Xenopus tropicalis: one gene and its partner. The protein of the gene in region 1 interacts with the protein of each later gene in a biochemical or structural test. Links are inferred from orthologs where the notes say so. Each region holds a gene or a part of one and is shown on either strand. Other genes may lie near its edges. The genes, in order: rxfp3 and rln3.

Region 1 (10,175 bases):
GGCGCCCTCTAGTGTGCATTTACCTGCAATGCCCCATGTTCCACCTGAATAATGGTCTGTCCTTTGGGTACAGGATCTCTACAGATCAAGGAAAGGTTTATCAAAAGTTTAGAACTTAATAAATTCACCCACGTTCTGTTTATTCTTATGGGGTTTTTAAAAATTTATCATTGATAAATACACTTCTAAAAATCCCATAGGAACATGGGTGTTTATGTAATCACTGATTGCATCACTGATTACATACCTTAAAGGGTTACGCCTATGTAAGTTGTCTAAATTACAATTATTTTCTAGCTTTGTTACCATTTTATACAATATTATATACGCAGAGGTGTTATAAATCTATTATTTGAGAATTGGCCAAATACGCAAACCAGAAGATTTAATGAAATACTGAACAGGATATTAACCCTGATTCGACCTGTTAAATTGAAGCACAATAATGACAGGAAATCCCAAATCTAATGCATGGGGCCCCGTGTTCCATTAAACTACAGGTATGAGCCTTTTTATGCAGAATGCTCAGGACCTGGGGAGCCTATGGGAGATGGTCTTGCCAAAATTTGGAGCTTTCTGGATAATGGGTTTTCCAGACAATGGATCCTATACCTGTACCTGCAACTGAAAATGTTATCTTTAACCCTAAGTCTACAGTGAGCACCATGCAGCAATGCCCCCTGGGTACTACAAGTAAATACAGGTTGGCCAGTCAGACTGAGCCTCTATAGTGTAAATCAGATGGGAATTCACAGACCTGTACAGGGGCACTTGCACAGGCATTAGGCTGAGGTTACATGTGAGTATACAGTATGGGGGTGATTTATCAACATTTGAATTTTTTTGGGCTAAAACTCCCAATATTCGAATTATAGTCCGAAAACTCAAATGTTCACACAGTCCCTTCCCAGAGGCTATTTTCCCCCCACTGCTACTATAGGCACCATCTCTCCCTACTATACCTGCTATCCCACAGCCCCAGTCCCTTCCCAGAGGCTATTATCCCCCCACTGCTACTATAGGCACCATCTCTCCCTACTATACCTGCTATCCCACAGCCCCAGTCCCTTCCCAGAGGCTATTATCCCCCCACTGCTACTATAGGCACCATCTCTCCCTACTATACCTGCTATCCCACAGCCCCAGTCCCTTCCCAGAGGCTATTATCCCACTGCTACTATAGGCACCATCTCTCCCTACTATACCTGCTATCCCACAGCCCCAGTCCCTTCCCAGAGGCTATTATCCCACTGCTACTATAGGCACCATCTCTCCCTACTATACCTGCTATCCCACAGCCCCAGTCCCTTCCCAGAGGCTATTTTCCCCCCACTGCTACTATAGGCACCATCTCTCCCTACTATACCTGCTATCCCACAGCCCCAGTCCCTTCCCAGAGGCTATTATCCCCCCACTGCTACTATAGGCACCATCTCTCCCTACTATACCTGCTATCCCACAGCCCCAGTCCCTTCCCAGAGGCTATTATCCCACTGCTACTATAGGCACCATCTCTCCCTACTATACCTGCTATCCCACAGCCCCAGTCCCTTCCCAGAGGCTATTTTCCCCCCACTGCTACTATAGGCACCATCTCTCCCTACTATACCTGCTACCCCACAGCCCCAGTCCCTTCCCAGAGGCTATTATCCCACTGCTACTATAGGCACCATCTCTCCCTACTATACCTGCTATCCCACAGCCCCAGTCCCTTCCCAGAGGCTATTATCCCACTGCTACTATAGGCACCATCTCTCCCTACTATACCTGCTATCCCACAGCCCCAGTCCCTTCCCAGAGGCTATTATCCCACTGCTACTATAGGCACCATCTCTCCCTACTATACCTACAATCCCACAGCCACAGCCCCTTCCCAGAGGCTATTATCCCCCCACTGCTACTATAGGCACCATCTCTCCCTACTATACCTGCTATCCCACAGCCCCAGTCCCTTCCCAGAGGCTATTATCCCCCCACTGCTACTATAGGCACCATCTCTCCCTACTATACCTGCTATCCCACAGCCACAGTCCCCTTCCCAGAGGCTATTATCCCCCCACTGCTACTATAGGCACCATCTCTCCCTACTATACCTGCTATCCCACAGCCCCAGTCCCTTCCCAGAGGCTATTATCCCCCCACTGCTACTATAGGCACCATCTCTCCCTACTATACCTGCTATCCCACAGCCACAGTCCCTTCCCAGAGGCTATTATCCCCCCACTGCTACTATAGGCACCATCTCTCCCTACTATACCTGCTATCCCACAGCCCCAGTCCCTTCCCAGAGGCTATTATCCCCCCACTGCTACTATAGGCACCATCTCTCCCTACTATACCTGCTATCCCACAGCCACAGTCCCTTCCCAAAGGCTATTATCCCCCCACTGCTACTATAGGCACCATCTCTCCCTACTATACCTGCTATCCCACAGCCACAGTCCCTTCCCAGAGGCTATTATCCCACTGCTACTATAGGCACCATCTCTCCCTACTATACCTGCTATCCCACAGCCCCAGTCCCTTCCCAGAGGCTATTATCCCCCCACTGCTACTATAGGCACCATCTCTCCCTACTATACCTGCTATCCCACAGCCCCAGTCCCTTCCCAGAGGCTATTATCCCCCCACTGCTACTATAGGCTCCATCTCTCCCTACTATACCTGCTATCCCACAGCCCCAGTCCCTTCCCAGAGGCTATTATCCCCCCACTGCTACTATAGGCTCCATCTCTCCCTACTATACCTGCTATCCCACAGCCCCAGTCCCTTCCCAGAGGCTATTATCCCCCCACTGCTACTATAGGCACCATCTCTCCCTACTATACCTACTATCCCACAGCCCCAGTCCCTTCCCAGAGGCTATTATCCCCCACTGCTACTATAGGCACCATCTCTCCCTACTATACCTGCTATTCCCACTATTATCCCACACAAAAACTCTAATTGTAACACAGTTTAGGAAGTCACATACATTCTCTACAATGATATTCTGTAAGTATGTAGTAGGAACATATATTTTACTATAATGTTTACTGTATCATAAGAAAAGTGGATTGCATTTTTTATCTCTAAAATGTGTTTAATTGATATTAACTACATGGCTACCAAGCTCAAACCCCTTGTTTAATGGATAATAATCAATGTATATACTGTTCCTATATCACATTATTGCTCCAAGTGGCCATATCTGCAAATAAGAACTTTTTTTGGTAAGTAGGAGAATTTTACACGTAGAGCTTATAAGCCATTTGTTCCGTGATGCAAGGTGGGGGGAAGACACAGTTCAACCATAATTGATTCTTCAGCTCACCCCTTACATAATTCCATAGGGTGCATTCACTTCCAAGCCAAATCCATAGACCTCCATACAGGGAAGAAGCACATAAATACCCCCTTCTTCAGGTGCAATGTGTGTTAAGGGCAATTGGTGTGCTTCTTCCCTGTGTGGAGGCAAGGTGGGGGGGGGGGGGGGAGTTGTTTGCCAGAGCTAAATGAGATATGTTGGGGAAAATATCTGTACATGGGGTTCGTATATAATGGTTTAAACGTATTTCTTCTATCCTTATGCTCTTAAATGTGACTATAAATAATAAAGAGAGAAGATCTCTATGAATATCATATAAATACATTTGTATTTATTTGGCTCTGAAAGAGTAAAGCGAAATCTCACCGTCTGAATGTTCCACTGGCCTAAAGCATTACTGCCCCCTAGTGGACTTTCTTATTAAAAATGTTTAAAGAAGTGGAGACAAATCTATTACATTACGTTAAAATAACAGGGGGAAAAAAGCCTTAAAAATGAATATACTATTTTCAAGCACCACCATACAGCACAGAATGCCATTATATAGTTAGGGGGGTAATAAGGTAAAGAAACAAATTAACTGGGTTTCTAAATGTCATCTCTGGATTATTCTAAAACGTTTCTACAGCTGGAATGGAATTTATATTAAAATATAGAATTGGAAAATAAGACCCTGACTTGTACACCCTCCCCCCCCCCCCCCATTTTTCCCTCCCCTAAAGAATGGCTTGTAAGAATTAAACATGATAAACAACTATACAATTTATTGATGTAACTATACCAGCATAAATATGTTATGTAACTTGTTATTCTCAATAAAAAAGTTAAAACTTAAAAAAAAAAAATATAGAGAATTGGCAGATAGATGGATTGCTCTGATACCCAGCTGTTCTTATTATGGTCAACTGTAAGAGTACTAACCCCCAGTGGTGGCTGAACTAATGAGAGTCTCCTTTCTGGTTGGACTAGAATCCCTGAATAATTCTAATGATGATGGAAATACTAGAGAAGCCTGCAAGGTCCAGTCATGAGCTGATGCTCCTATCAGAGGGAGGTAGGGGGGGATTACAGTGCCGCCCCTCCTAGTATCAATTAGCAGAGAGGCAGAGTGGATAACCCTGAGCGTTACATCAGCACCTTGGAGAGTTCCCGTTAGTAGAACCTTGGAGAGCTCCATCTCAGCGCTGCACAGGCCCCGCCTCCTGAATAGAATTCTACTCAGCCTGACGGAAGGCGCAGGGCACAAAATATAAATGAAGTTGGAAGCTGCAACAACTCACAGGACTTTAGATCCAGCTGCCATACAGATATATGGAGTCCACAGCACTACCTCTCCTCATGTACCTTATCCTCTCATTGTAACAGCTGCTGATGCCACAATGCTGAAGGCTGTAGCTAATGAATGTATTATTTCCTAAGTGGATACAAAGACAGTGGAAGCAACAGATCGATGCCTCATTGAGAATCTTCTACATTGCCGTGCGATTTTGTCGGCAGTAAAAGAAAATGCGTTTATGGCATGGGACCATTAGCTCAATGAAGAGCTGAGTTTTTTTTTTATAACATGGGATGGATGTCAGTTGCAATCTCAGTTATTGCTCCATAGCAGCCAGTATGCAAGAAGCAGAGCAGAGCGACCTGCTTGGGATGTTTCCACTCTTCCTGGAGGAGCGACTGTTGAACAGGAGCAACGAGTCGCTACAGGACTTTATTAAAGGGTTCAACCTGGACAAATCGGATATAATAGGGGACAGCTCGGCTATAGTGAGGATCATTATCTCGATTGTATACTCCGTGGTGTGTGCATTGGGACTAGTGGGCAATGTGCTTGTCTTATACCTCATGAAAACCAAGCAAGGATGGAAGAAGTCATCAATAAACCTCTTTGTGACCAGCTTGGCCATCACGGACTTTCAGTTTGTATTGACTTTGCCTTTCTGGGCGGTGGAGAATGCGTTGGACTTCAGTTGGCTTTTTGGCAAAGCCATGTGCAAAATCGTGTCGTATGTGACCGCCATGAACATGTATGCCAGTGTGTTCTTCCTGACAGCAATGAGTGTGGCCAGGTACTACTCTGTGGCTTCTGCGCTGAAGGTGAAAAGGAGACCCGCCGGCTGCTCCGCCAAATGGGTGAGCGTTCTCATCTGGGTCTCCGCTATCGTTGCGTCTTTGCCCAACGCGATCTTCTCAACCACAGCGACTGTCTCCAGCGAGGTCCTCTGCCTGGTGAAGTTCCCAGTCAATAACGGCAATGCCCAGTTTTGGCTTGGGTTGTACCATGCCCAGAAGGTTCTGTTGGGCTTTCTGATCCCTCTGTTCGTTATTACTATCTGCTATTTGCTTCTGGTTCGTTTCATTACGGACCGGAACATTAGCAGCTCCAGCACCAAACGGAGATCCAAAGTCACCAAGTCGGTGACCATCGTGGTCCTCTCGTTTTTCCTCTGCTGGCTCCCCAACCAAGCCTTGACCACCTGGGGGATATTGATCAAACTGAATATTGTCCAGTTCAGCTATGAGTACTTTACTACCCAAGCCTACATATTCCCCATCACTGTGTGTCTGGCTCACTCCAACAGTTGCCTCAACCCAATCCTTTACTGCTTGATGCGCAGGGAGTTCAGGAAAGCGCTGAAAAACCTCTTCTGGAAAATCGCATCGCCGTCCCTGACCAACATGCGACCGTTCACTGCGACCACTAAACCCGAGCAGGATGATCACGCCCATGGTATGGTCCCTCTCAATCCAGCTGAACCCGATGTCATTTGTTACCCCCCTGGGGCAGTTCTATACAATGGCAGATATGACCTCCTCCCCAATAGCTCGACCGAGCAACGGTACTGAGACTTGTCCCTGTGAGACATTGGGTCAATCTGCCTCAATTTAACCACACACAGCAGAATATCAGGACTGCAGCTGGCTTGTTTTAGAAAGTCGCAGAGGAAATGGCTCAATGCGTCATGTAATACATATCACTACGATGAGATGTACAATAAGTGTCCTATAATAAATATACAAAGGGAGCTGCCACATGGTATATATCAACGTGTTAAAGGCATAGAGTACCTTCTGCTGAATAACTGCAAAGCCCTAGGCAAGGGAGAGGTGTGTAGATAACCCAGCGCACTGTATGTACCAAGGCTTATCTGTTGATACATGTGATGCAGCTGCTTGGTTACATTGTTGCTCCATTTGTTGCTGTTGCAATTAAGGAGGTATTTTATCTCACTACCTGCTCCATCCGTGTCTCCCTGGAGACAGGGTGCTGTGCCAAAAGGGTTTTTTGACTCCTCAATTTTATTTAGAAGGATAATAAAAAGCAATGCCATTGCGCTACACCCAGGCAGGCACTATACTTCATTATTAATATCTGTAATTTATATAGTGCTGGCATGTTGTACAGAATCATTTAAATTGATTTCTGCAGCAATGGAGCTTACAATCTAATACACGCAGGAGTTAAATAACCTTCCAACCAAGCTTTTGGGTGAGAATCTAAGCATTCAGAGAAAACCCACCCAGGTAGTGCCCTGGTCAGAATCGAACCCAAGACTCCAAGGCATCAGATCTAACGTCTGTGTCATTGTGCTGCTTTCCTACTAGAGGCTAATGCCCTGGTAATACACAAGGTAATCTTGGCACAGATACACTAGGGCTGGGTTCCATGTAATGTTATTACAGGTATGGGACCTGTTATCCAGAATGCTCGGGACCTGGGGTTCTCCGGATAAGGGATCTTTCCGTAATTTGGATCTCCATAACTTAAGTCTGCTAAAAATCATTTAAATATTAAATAAACCCAATAGGGCTGTTCTGCCCCCAATAAGGGGTAATTATATCTTAGTTGGGATCAAGTACAGGTACTGTTTTATTATTACAGAGAAAAGGGAATCATTTAACCATTAAATAAACCCAATAGGGCTGTTCTGCCCCAATAAGGGGTAATTATATCTTAGTTGGGATCAAGTACAGGTACTGTTTTATTATTACAGAGAAAAGGGAATCATTTAACCATGAAATAAACCCAATAGGGCTGTTCTGTCCCAATAAGGGTAATTATATCTTAGTTGGGATCAAGTACAGGTACTGTTTTATTATTACAGAGAAAAGGGAATCATTTAACCATGAAATAAACCCAATAGGGCTGTTCTGCCCCCAATAAGGGGTAATTATATCTTAGTTGGGATCAAGTACAGGTACTGTTTTATTATTACAGAGAAAAAAATAAATCATATTTAAAAATTAGAATTATTTGCTTATAATGGAATCTATGAGAGATGGCCTTTCTGTAATTTGGAACTTTCTGGATAAGGGGTTTTCTGGATAAGGGATCCCATACTTGTACTGAATTTGCTTTCTAAATATAATAACCCGTACACTCAGGTGTATATATAGATAAACATATGCCGATACTTAGTTTTCTAACTATACTCTGCCGCCCCAGGGTCACTTGTTGAAAGCATTTTTTTATTAGATCCTGATGTGGCTAAGAGTAAATACACTCAGACAGCCATTGCGCGGGGCAGCTGTTCATTCTGAGGTTTTATGACCCACACAGCCATATAAAGGAGCCACGTGGCGCATCTCTTTACCCTGTACATAACAATAATTGCCAGGTATATTGCTCCTACACATCGGAAATTTTATAGCACTTCTTTTTATATGATATATATGTATAAATGCATTTTTTTAAACTCTATGGGGCTTTTACTTTTTTTTTTAAGAAAGTGATTTCTATGTTTGGATTGTTAAATGCATATTTTGGCACTTAAATGCAACCTCTTGCACATAAGTTCCCTGCAGCTCTTGTGTTGTGCTGTATATTCTGATAAGGCATGTTCACTCAGTAGCAGCGATGGGCAAATGGTAGCCTTTAAGATGATTCAAACCATAACTCCCAGCCTTCTCTAAAGGTGGCCATACACGGGCAGATTTGAGTCCTTCCAATGGATTCGGTAGCTTATCTTCCCATCTCCCCAACTGATGGCTCAATATATTCCAGGTGTCGATTGGACAGTTTTGATTTTCCCATCAGATTGGGGACCACATTGGCTCACTGATGCAGCCCTTGGTACGACGGCTCCTATACCTGTTATTGTAATTTTATCGTTTGGCCAAACAATTGAATTAGAGATAGCCTTCATTAGGTGGGCATAATGGGAGAAGATCCACCTAGGTCTTAACATGTATGGCCACCTTTACCCCAGGAGTAATAGTCTCCCCAACCGATAGCTGAATATATTCCAGGTGTCGATGGGACAGGTTTGATTCTCCCATCAGATTGGGGACCACATTGGCTCATTGATACAGTCCTTGGTTTGACGGCTCCTATACCTGTTATTGTAATTTGATCATTTGGCCAAACAATTGAATTAGAGATAGCCTACATTAGGTGGGCATAATGGGAGAAGATCCACCAAGGTCTTAATGTGTATGGCCACCTTTACTCCAGGAGTCATAGTCTCCCCAACTGATGGCTGAATATATTCCAGGTGTCAATTGGACAGTTTTTCCCCATCAGATTGGGGACCACATTGGCTCATTGGTTCAGTCCTTGGTATGACATCTCCTATACCTGTTATTGTAATTTGATCATTTGGCCAAACTATTGAATTAGAGATAGCCTACATTAGGTGGGCATAATGGGAGAAGATCTACCAAGGTCTTAATGTGTATGGTCTCCTTTACCCCAGGAGTCATAGTCTCCCCAACCGATGGCTGAATATATTCCAGGTGTCAATGGGACAGGTTTGATTCTTCCATCAGATTGGGGACCACATTGGCTCACTGATGCAGCACTTGGTACGACGGCTCCTATACCTGTTATTGTAATTTTATCGTTTGGCCAAACAATTGAATTAGAGATAGCCTACATTAGGTGGGCATAATGGGAGAAGATCTACCAAGGTCTTAACGTGTATGGCCACCTTTACTCCAGGAGTCATAGTCTCCCCAACCAATGGCTGAATATATTCCAGGTGTCAATTGGACAGTTTTTTCCATCAGATTGGGGACCACATTGGCTCATTGGTTCAGTCCTTGGTACGACGGCTCCTATACCTGTTATTGTAATTTGATCATTTGGCCAAACAATTGAATTAGAGATAGCCTACATTAGGTGGGCATAATGGGAGAAGATCTACCAAGGTCTTAACGTGTATGGCCACCTTTACTCCAGGAGTCATAGTCTATCAAGTTCTTAATAGCTCCACTTGCCCACGCTCTATAATATCCTCCGACCAAAGGTTTTAAGGCAAAAAATGACTTCACGGTATAGTATGCAACATGTCCATAAGGAACTAGAGGGCTACATGATTTCCTTTCCCTTTGCATGCATTGGAGACAATACAGTCTTTCGTGGTTTGGATATTTTTATGTCAGATAAGTAATTGGAAGTTATTTGTCTATTCTACAATGTAATTACCTGATAGGAACTCAAAACATCTGTAAGGTTCTTCAACAATCTAATTGTGTAGTCTGTTGCGGTATTAACCTCAGGTTATAAGAATGTAAAATGATCTGAAGAGTGTGTCTCTAAGCCTCAGACCTCTGTTTGTGCACCTTGTAATTGGCGATAAATATATTCAAACTTTGCTCAGCGTGAAGACTAGTATTGAGGTTGATAAAGATTCTCATTAAAACGGATTTACCCAAACAGTTCCTGATATGTCTATGCATCCCTGGAAATAAACTCTCTTTGCCCGCAGTCGAGACACAATGTACAGTAGGCAATAAACACACACACAGAGTCATGAAAGTGTCTCCTGAGAGACATTAGACTGATCATGTTGAAGATTGTCTTTGCCTAAAGGTAACAGAAAGGCAGATAGGAAGCAGAGCATGTCAAGGGCAAGTCTGTGATTTAGTA
Region 2 (10,220 bases), on another chromosome or scaffold:
TAGTTTATACGGTATAAGTAACGTTTATTTTGCTCAAATAAAATGATAAAAGGAAAAGGATTTGGAATAATTTTTTAGGGTGACAGGTTCCCCTTGAAGATGAACCCACCCCTGTAATAGACTGATGAAGGTGTGTGCAAAGCATTATGGGAACTGGAGTCTCAGCGAGGGCAGATAATAGCAAGGGGCAGACTGGCGCTACCTTCAGATGCTTGGAATATATATACAATTATATACATACCGTATTTTTCGCCGTATAAGATGGGAAAAGTTGGTGCGTCTTATATGGCGAACTGCGTCTTCCTCTATGTGCCGCAGCTCTCTGCTGCATCCTCGCTTTTATAAGGTTGCGCCCGTGCCTACTGACGTCACACACACAGGCGCAACCTTATAAAAGCACAGAAGCAGCTGGGAGCCGCGGCACAGAGAGGAAGACATCATGGGAGCCGGAGGCCACTGAGGGGAGGTTAGGGGGGAAATGGAAGGTGCTTGGGGGGGCCCTGGGGGAAGCTGAAGAATGCTGGGGGTGCCGTGGGGGAGCTGGAGGATGCTTGGAGGCCCTGGGGGAAGCTGAAGGATACTTGGGGGGCCCTGTGGGAAGCTGAAGGATACTTGGGGGGGCCCTGGGGGAAGCTGAAGGATACTTGGGGGGGCCCTGGGGGAAGCTGAAAGGATACTTGGGGGGCCCTGGGGGAAGCTGAAGGATACTTGGGGGGGCCCTGGGGGAAGCTGAAGGATACTTGGGGGGGCCCTGGGGGAAGCTGAAGGATACTTGGGGGGGCCCTGGGGGAGCTGGAGGATGCTTGGAGGCCCTGGGGGACTCTGAAGGATACTTGGGGGGGGCCCTGTGGGAAGCTGAAGGATACTTGGGGGGGCCCTGGGGGAAGCTGAAGGATACTTGGGGGGGCCCTGGGGGAAGCTGAAAGGATACTTGGGGGGCCCTGGGGGAAGCTGAAGGATACTTGGGGGGGCCCTGGGGGAAGCTGAAGGATACTTGGGGGGGCCCTGGGGGAGCTGGAGGATGCTTGGAGGCCCTGGGGGACTCTGAAGGATACTTGGGGGGGGCCCTGTGGGAAGCTGAAGGATACTTGGGGGGGCCCTGGGGGAAGCTGAAGGATACTTGGGGGGGCCCTGGGGGAAGCTGAAGGATACTTGGGGGGGCCTGGGGGAAGCTGAATGATACTTGGGGGGGCCCTGGGGGAAGCTGAAGGATACTTGGGGGGGCCCTGGGGGAAGCTGAAGGATACTTGGGGGGGCCTGGGGGAAGCTGAATGATACTTGGGGGGGCCCTGGGTTGATATAAAATATTTTACTACAGTATTTGGTTCAGAATCTTTTTTCTCTAGATTTTCCTCCTTTAAAATTGGGTGCGTCTTATATTCCGGAGCGTCTTATAGGGCGAAAAATACGGTATATATTGAATGTATATTTGCTTACAACCCTTTTACGTTTAGCTCTGCAGGCAGCATATAATAAGGAGAAAGAGGAGGCTCCATGTTTATGGGGGCACAATGCCATGCTATAATATATATTACAGGTTTTACTGCCCACGCCATCATCTTAGCATCCATTTTATGACTTGCCATTGTGTCCCGACACCGTCACCTATTGTATTGTGTCCCCATTGTGACGTCGACTCTCATTAGTATTGTAATTAGCACATTCAGGAGCCATTGTTTTTTTTTTTTTGGGCCTCAGGGGCGTCCGCTGGTTAAATGTCCCTGTGCGGCTATTAGCCACCGCGTCAAAGATAGGATCCCAGCGGTGACAGATGGAGCCTTTTGTCATGAAAATGTTAGGGCAGCGAGGAGCAGGGATGGCGGCGCTATCAGTGGCTGTTCGATCCTATCACTCGCCCGCTGACATTATACCAGACAAAGGACGCCGTGTCCCGGCGAGGAAAGCTAATGGAATAGAGATTAGCAAAGTTCAGGCCGTGCAAATAGATTTGTATAACAATTCCGTAATGATAATGAGCGCTGCTCCGAATTGCGCCCGTACGTAAATGCGTATCCATTCCGAAAGATCAGCTGCGATCTGTAATCGCCGTAGCAGCGCAACGGGCATAAAGGGTAACCGAGAAAAACCGGCAGGAACTCCGGATAAACAAAACGTCTTGAGTAGCTGAAAACCAGTATAGTGTATTTAAACTTACACATAATGCTATAAAGCCTGACGCGTTTCGTACCTAAAACAGTCATAGGCTGAATAACAATCCACAAACACATATTATTTAAAGCAAAAATAGGCAATTGTATTGCAAGGAGGTTGACCAATCGCAACGTACATATAATTAAAGTTACGGTACGAAACGCGTAAGGCATTATGGCATTATGTGTACGTTTAAATGAACTATACTGGTTTTACTTCAACTTGTTGAGCACCCAGACCCTCCACCACCACAAAGAGTTCTACCTAATTCACCGAGTACTCGGTTTTCTTTATTTTTTGGATCTTTCCATATATATTGCAACAGGGTAACTTAGCACAGGGGCCACATTCTCTGCTAAGCACAGGGGCCACATTCTCTGCTAAGCACAGGGGCCACATTCTCAGCTAAGCACAGGGGCCTCATTCTCCGCTAAGCACAGGGGCCACATTCTCCGTTAAGCACAGGGGCCACAGTCTCTGCTAAGCACAGGGGCCACAGTCTCCGCTAAGCACAGGGGCCACATTCTCTGCTAAGCACAGGGGCCACATTCTCCGCTAAGCACAGGGGCCACAGTCTCTGCTAAGCACAGGGGCCACAGTCTCCGCTAAGCACAGGGGCCACATTCTCTGCTAAGCACAGGGGCCACATTCTCTGCTAAGCACAGGGGCCACAGTCTCCGCTAAGCACAGGGGCCACATTCTCCGCTAAGCACAGGGGCCACAGTCTCCGCTAAGCACAGGGGCCACAGTCTCCGCTAAGCACAGGGGCCACATTCTCCGCTAAGCACAGGGGCCACATTCTCCGCTAAGCACAGGGGCCACATTCTCAGCTAAGCACAGGGGCCACATTCTCAGCTAAGCACAGGGGCCACATTCTCTGCTAAGCACAGGGGCCACATTCTCTGCTAAGCACAGGGGCCACATTCTCTGCTAAGCACAGGGGCCACATTCTCTGCTAAGCACAGGGGCCACATTCTTTGCTAAGCACAGGGGCCACATTCTCTGCTAAGCACAGGGGCCACATTCTCTGCTAAGCACAGGGGCCACATTCTCAGCTAAGCACAGGGGCCACATTCTCAGCTAAGCACAGGGGCCACATTCTCTGCTAAGCACAGGGGCCACATTCTCAGCTAAGCACAGGGGCCACATTCTCTGCTAAGCACAGGGGCCACAGTCTCCGCTAAGCACAGGGGCCACATTCTCAGCTAAGCACAGGGGCCACATTCTCTGCTAAGCACAGGGGCCACATTCTCCGCTAAGCACAGGGGCCACATTCTCAGCTAAGCACAGGGGCCACATTCTCAGCTAAGCACAGGGGCCACATTCTCAGCTAAGCACAGGGGCCACATTCTCAGCTAAGCACAGGGGCCACATTCTCTGCTAAGCACAGGGGCCACATTCTCTGCTAAGCACAGGGGCCACATTCTCAGCTAAGCACAGGGGCCACATTCTCAGCTAAGCACAGGGGCCACATTCTCCGCTAAGCACAGGGGGTGTCGCACCTTGCCCACTCAAGCGAATGGGAGACAGAAGCGTGGGGGTCATGTGGTTCTCTGAAGGCAGAGAATATACCCCTCGTGCCACAGCCCTTATACACAGTGCTAATATTAGCACAACAATCAGTGGCGTAGAGGAAGCAGACGCGGCGGGGGGGGGGGGGGCCCTGGGTACAGGGGGGGAGGGCGCAGGGTCAGCTTCCTCTACGCCACTTTTCTACAAAGAAAATATACGTGCCCACTGCTTTCCTGAGCCGGCCCAACACACGCGGGCATGGAGCGGGGATTGTTTGCGTGGGGGCCTGGCAGCACTTCGTTACGCCGCTGACAATAATACCCAGAACTCAACCTCCTTTGCTAAAGTACCTGCTCCCTAATGAGAATAAAATCATTCCTACAGAGCCGGGGTCCGACTGCCCTGCCAGGGTACCGGGCACCTTCCTGGTGGGCCCAGGCCTGAGAGAAGTCCCATTAACCCTTACTTATTCCCACCATTAGCCTATATACCCTTTATATGCCATTCAGTGCCAAGGCCCGGTTCCACTCACGCCATCAGCACGCAGCAAGCATTGATCAGTGTGTTCAACATGTGAAGCTAATTTAGCTCTGGAGTCAGACTGATACAAATGGATGAGGGTTTGCCTTGGCGTTGGAGTTGGGGGCCATTCCAACCACTTATACTTACATAGGAGGGCCATTGTAGCATGGGGGGGGGGGGCAACTGTGTTGGCCCACCTATCTAGGGCAGGGTCATACTCAAGCATACACAGGAGTCACCTACCTGGGAACCCTCGGCAGTGGTAGAGACACCAGGACTTACCAGAGTAATAAACTTCATATAGGGCTTTGCCCTAAGGGTGCAGGGACACGGCGGGGACATCTTGGGGAGTGCGGGGCCCCTGGTTCGGCAGCCCCAGTGGGCCCTGCACCCCCCCAGTCCAACCCTGTGTGCATCATAGTACTTAGATTGTAAGCTCTACGGGGCAGGAAGCTCCTTCCTACTGTGTCTCATATCACATGGCACTTACTCCCTGTGCATTTATATTATTATATATATATATTTATTGTATTTATTCTAACACTTGTCCTCCCTGTGTGTAATTGTGTATATTGTAAGATTGTACAGCGCTGCGTACCCTTGTGGCACTTTATAAATAAAGTTATACATATAACAAATGCAAAGCTATTGGCTGAGCCCACTCATACAGACTCCTTGCAGATAGAGCCCTGGCTGGAATCAAACTTAAGACCCCAATGCTACATTGATCTCCCCCTCCCCCCAAATCACTAGGGGCAGTTATGGTCACCTCCACCTGATTCTAATAATAATGCGCCCCTAGTGGCCAAACTGCCAGGAGCAATGGTAGAATACCTGCTTGCCTTACTAAGCAGTTACTTTTGCGCAGGGACATGGGAGAAGCATTAGCACATACATTACTTTTTCTACCCGCCATGGGGGTCGCTATAAAGTCCCCCCTTGAGTCACTCGCCATACGCACAGATTTTGTACTTGTGGGGGTAGTTTACTGGGAAGTGATGCTCTGAGGGTGTCAGGGTGATGGCACCCAGTGACGAGCCTGGAATAATTGCTGCCTTATTATGCTGCAGAAAGGTTATCTCTCCTCTCAGAGGCTGCTCCGGGGAGGGGGGGCACCGAGTAGGGTCCTTATCTCCCCGCTCAGGCCCCCACGGTCAGCTTATAAGTGGACGGTCAGCAGCCACTGGGATTCACTTTCCTCGCTCACTGCCTGCCCAGTAAGAGCCTGGCATCATGCAGCGCGTGGCTCCCGCCCTTCTCGTGGTCCTGTGGCTCCTAGCCTGGCACAGCGGCACCCAGGCCACCAGCAGAGTCCCCACGTTTGGGGTGAAGCTCTGCGGCCGAGAGTTCATACGAGCCGTTATCTTCACATGTGGGGGTTCCCGGTGGAGAAGAAACGAGGCTCTGCAAGCAGGTAGGGGGTCTTACACAACTTCCTAAGGGGGTTATTGGGCGTGGGCAAAACTGTACCCAAAATCAGATAGAGCCCAGGGCAGACCTGCTTCCTACAGGGTTCATCCCTTTCTTCGAAACAATGTAGCAGAAGTCAATTCTCCTCCAGGTATGTTATTTCAGGAGTCACAATCAGCAGTGCAGAGAAGTGAAAATGGGAAATTGGGAAGTTGCTCAGAATGATATTTTCTTTCATTAGGTTCCCCTTTAAACATCCACTACCGTCCAATCATAATGTGAGTTTCATTGTTTTGTAGGGGGTCAAACCACCCATTTTGGGGGCTGTGACTGGTGAGGTGCAGCCCAAAGAGATGTCGCAGTTTTCATTTTTTTCACATTTCTTTTTTTTTGCCATTAGATATTGTGCTACTTGCCCTTTACCCTGGCAAAGGTACGACCAACGCCTTAGATTCTACCAACTCAGGGTTTTGTTTAGATTGGCAAGATTGATAGGCACCAGCATTTAAAGGGTTAAAAGCGCTCCAGCTTCCTATGTGCAGGATAAATATTGCAATGAAAGTGTTCTGGCAGCTTGAGAGTTAAGAGGGCAACCAACTTTTGGACTGGCACCCCTGACGCCCTGTAGATAGGGTGGGCTGCTGTACAAGGGTCAGTACCCGCTGCCCCAGCAACATTGCCCCCTAAGAGCAGCGTTGCCCACGGTTTAGTGCCCCCAACTGTAGGCAGTGCTGTATGCAGAGCAATGAGCCCCTTGCTAAGCCTGCTTAGACTCCCCCCCAGACATGCATTTGGTACGTTCCACCTGGAGCTCCCAGCATGCTCAGCCAGGGGAGGCTGCCTTATCTACCCCCTACTCCCACTGAGATATAACACGGGCTCCTGTTAGTGATATGGTAATAGTAACAATCAGAGCCTTTGTGTGCAGCTATTTAATGAGGAGATCTGTATCGGGGGCTCAGGGTGGGTTAGGTAGATAACACTTGTGTGCAGCTGTTTGTTTGTGATTGTGCGCCCACACTCAGCGCTTTGTCCGGTGCATCAATCTGGATATTAGAAGTCACTGAGGGGTTCTGTGCCCATATAAAGGCACAAGGCTGCAGGCTGAGTTATACAGGGAACTCTGAGTATCACTCATGTATTATAAGGGATAATGTACCCCCTACTGTAAATGATAAGGATATTAGCAGTCACTGAGGGGTTCTGTGCCCATATAAAGGCACAAGGCTGCAGGCTGAGTTATACAGGGAACTCTGAGTATCACTCATGTATTATAAGGCATAATGTACCCCCTACTGTAAATGATAAGGATATTAGCAGTCACTGAGGGGTTCTGTGCCCATATAAAGGCACAAGGCTGCAGGCTGAGTTATACAGGGAACTCTGAGTATCACTCATGTATTATAAGGGATAATGTACCCCCTACTGTAAATGATAAGGATATTAGCAGTCACTGAGGGGTTCTGTGCCCATATAAAGGCACAAGGCTGCAGGCTGAGTTATACAGGGAACTCTGAGTATCACTCATGTATTATAAGGGATAATGTACCCCCTACTGTAAATGATAAGGATATTAGCAGGCACTGAGGGGTTCTGTGCCCATATAAAGGCACAAGGCTGCAGGCTGAGTTATACAGGGAACTCTGAGTATCACTCATGTATTATAAGGGATAATGTACCCCCTACTGTAAATGATAAGGATATTAGCAGTCACTGAGGGGTTCTGTGCCCATATAAAGGCACAAGGCTGCAGGCTGAGTTATACAGGGAACTCTGAGTATCACTCATGTATTATAAGGGATAATGTACCCCCTACTGTAAATGATAAGGATATTAGCAGTCACTGAGGGGTTCTGTGCCCATATAAAGGCACAAGGCTGCAGGCTGAGTTATACAGGGAACTCTGAGTATCACTCATGTATTATAAGGGATAATGTACCCCCTACTGTAAATGATAAGGATATTAGCAGTCACTGAGGGGTTCTGTGCCCATATAAAGGCACAAGGCTGCAGGCTGAGTTATACAGGGAACTCTGAGTATCACTCATGTATTATAAGGCATAATGTACCCCCTACTGTAAATGATAAGGATATTAGCAGTCACTGAGGGGTTCTGTGCCCATATAAAGGCACAAGGCTGCAGGCTGAGTTATACAGGGAACTCTGAGTATCACTCATGTATTATAAGGGATAATGTACCCCCTACTGTAAATGATAAGGATATTAGCAGTCACTGAGGGGTTCTGTGCCCATATAAAGGCACAAGGCTGCAGGCTGAGTTATACAGGGAACTCTGAGTATCACTCATGTATTATAAGGGATAATGTACCCCCTACTGTAAATGATAAGGATATTAGCAGTCACTGAGGGGTTCTGTGCCCATATAAAGGCACAAGGCTGCAGGCTGAGTTATACAGGGAACTCTGAGTATCACTCATGTATTATAAGGGATAATGTACCCCCTACTGTAAATGATAAGGATATTAGCAGTCACTGAGGGTTATTAACATTAATATCAGGATGCTTTTGCCTCTAGTCTGTCTGTACACTAAATAAAAATAAACAATACTGGGGGCATCTCTTTGCACCCCCAGCTTCTCTTGTAGGGGAGCCTGCTGAAGTCTTTGGAAACTTGGTCTCTCCCGATGTGAATTCCGATGAGGAGGACGTGCTGAGTGAATGGGCGAGCAGCCTGCGTCCCCACAACAACGACATTGACTATGGCAGCGTGCAGAGTTGGCGAGATACCGCGGGGGGCAGGCACGGCATGGCAGCAGCAGAGGACGCCCTGAGGGGGGTGGAGAGGAGAGGGAGGGAAGCCGCGTTGGGATTATCAAATACTTGTTGCAAATGGGGGTGTAGCAAGAGCCAGATTAGCTCCTTGTGTTGAATGGGAGCCGAGTCACTGGGGTGGGGGGCAGTGTGGGGGGAGATTGGGTCATTGGTCTGTAACTGGGTCATGTACGTGTGTAGAACAGAAATCCCTATTGTTAGTGTGTGAGTGTGAGTGAATGAGTGAGTGTGAGTGAGTATTGGTTATGCGCAGGGGCACAGCCCAGGGTATCTGGGGCACGTGAGTGTTATCAGTATGTATATATATAATACATTTTCAACCCCGTATTCTGCTTGTTTCTTTCTTTTCTACATGTATTGATTTAATATGGAAGGAACCATTGTACATGGGTTTATTGGGCTGGGAATCTAGGGGAGCACTTTAGGCTCCCAGAGTGGGGGTGCTACTCCCGGGTGGCGGGCACAGCCAGCAGGGGGCCCCGTTGCAAATATAGTGTAAGGGACACAGGAGCAAGGAAGTCCTGGGCCCATAGAGCTTACAATCTAAGTGTGTGGGTAACTTCCAGGCACAGAGAGAAGTGCTGCTAAGGCTGTTCAAGTGCTTCGAGAGGCTGAGGGAGAGTTCCTGGTGGAGAAACATAAGGAATGAATTCCATAGGGGCAGAAAGGGAAAGCAGAGGGGCAATAGGGGATATGGGCGCTGTGAAAAGATGGCGGCTCTGAAAGAAATGGAGAAGGAGACCCAGAAAATTTGGAGGCACAGGGAAGATGCAGTGAGAGCAGGAGGAATGAAGCACTTTGTGAGGGACGGGAGGGGGGACAATAAGGACAGGGTTGGCCTGTGCCCACTGTTCTTCTGGGCAGAATGGCTAATGGGCACTAAAGGATTCGCCCGTGGGAACTTGTCAGTATTAACAAAGGAGGATTCTCATTTGCCCAAAGTGACCTGCCCAGGGTGCAGTAATGCATCAGGTATCATAGGGCCCCATATTACTAAATTACCAGGTTCCACCCCCTCAGGGGCCCCCAGTTATTAACTCATTGGTTACCTTTGCCCCAGGAGGAGGGCCCTGAAAGCAAGTAGAATGGGGCTAGAAACAAAATGGCGCATGTACTTATGACCACGCCCCCTGATCAACACCAGGCACACACCATTATGCCAAACCCCACCCATAATCCAGCCAAGCTCCTCCCATTCTCCACAAACCCTGTCCATGCCTGTAATTCACACTATTACATTGTTTCGGCCCCAAGGGGCCCCTGACTGCAGTACTCCCTGTACTCTCCTATTGGCAACGCTGCTGCTAAGCCTCCATTGTCTACAAAATGGAACAATGGTAAAACACGGGTTAAATGGCAGTTGTCTAGGTGCTTGGTATCGGATCCAGCAGAGGGGACTGGTTAAAGGGGCAGTACACCTTTAAGTTAATTTTTAGTATGTTATAGAATGGCCAATTTTAAGCAGCTTTTCAACCGGTCTTCATTATTTGTTTTTAAATTATTTGCCTTCTTCTTCTGACTCTTTCCAGCTTTTATATGGGGGGGTCACTGACCCCGGCAGCCAAAACCTATTGGTCTGAGAGGCAACAGTTTTATTATTATTGTTATTTCATTTTAGTTATTTTTCTATTCAGTCCCTCTATTCTTATACCAGTCTCTCATTCAAACCACTCCCTGGATGCTAAGGAAATTTGGATCCTAGCAACCAGATTGTCTTAGAATCTCCCTCCTATTTACTCACAGATTATAACTCACTAAGGTGTAGCCGGACTTGGATTTCTTACTATTGAGTGCTATTCTGATACCTACTGGGAGCTGCTATCTTGCTCCCT

Evidence for each region.
Region 2: the proteins of rxfp3 (region 1) and rln3 form a complex in vitro, tested with the Homo sapiens proteins (2 studies listed by BioGRID, with this or other methods). The link is inferred for Xenopus tropicalis from reciprocal best matches to the Homo sapiens genes RXFP3 and RLN3.

The regions. Positions count from the first base shown.
Region 1 is NC_030677.2:199,654,038-199,664,212, reverse strand, and holds the start of rxfp3 (relaxin-3 receptor 1), read left to right. Parts: upstream 1-4,335; 5' UTR 4,336-4,876; coding exon 4,877-6,035; intron 6,036-10,175. UniProt on the Homo sapiens protein: Receptor for RNL3/relaxin-3. Binding of the ligand inhibit cAMP accumulation.
Region 2 is NC_030679.2:141,069,521-141,079,740, reverse strand, and holds rln3 (relaxin-3 precursor), read left to right. Parts: upstream 1-5,418; coding exon 5,419-5,599; intron 5,600-8,189; coding exon 8,190-8,485; downstream 8,486-10,220. UniProt on the Homo sapiens protein: May play a role in neuropeptide signaling processes. Ligand for LGR7, RXFP3 and RXFP4.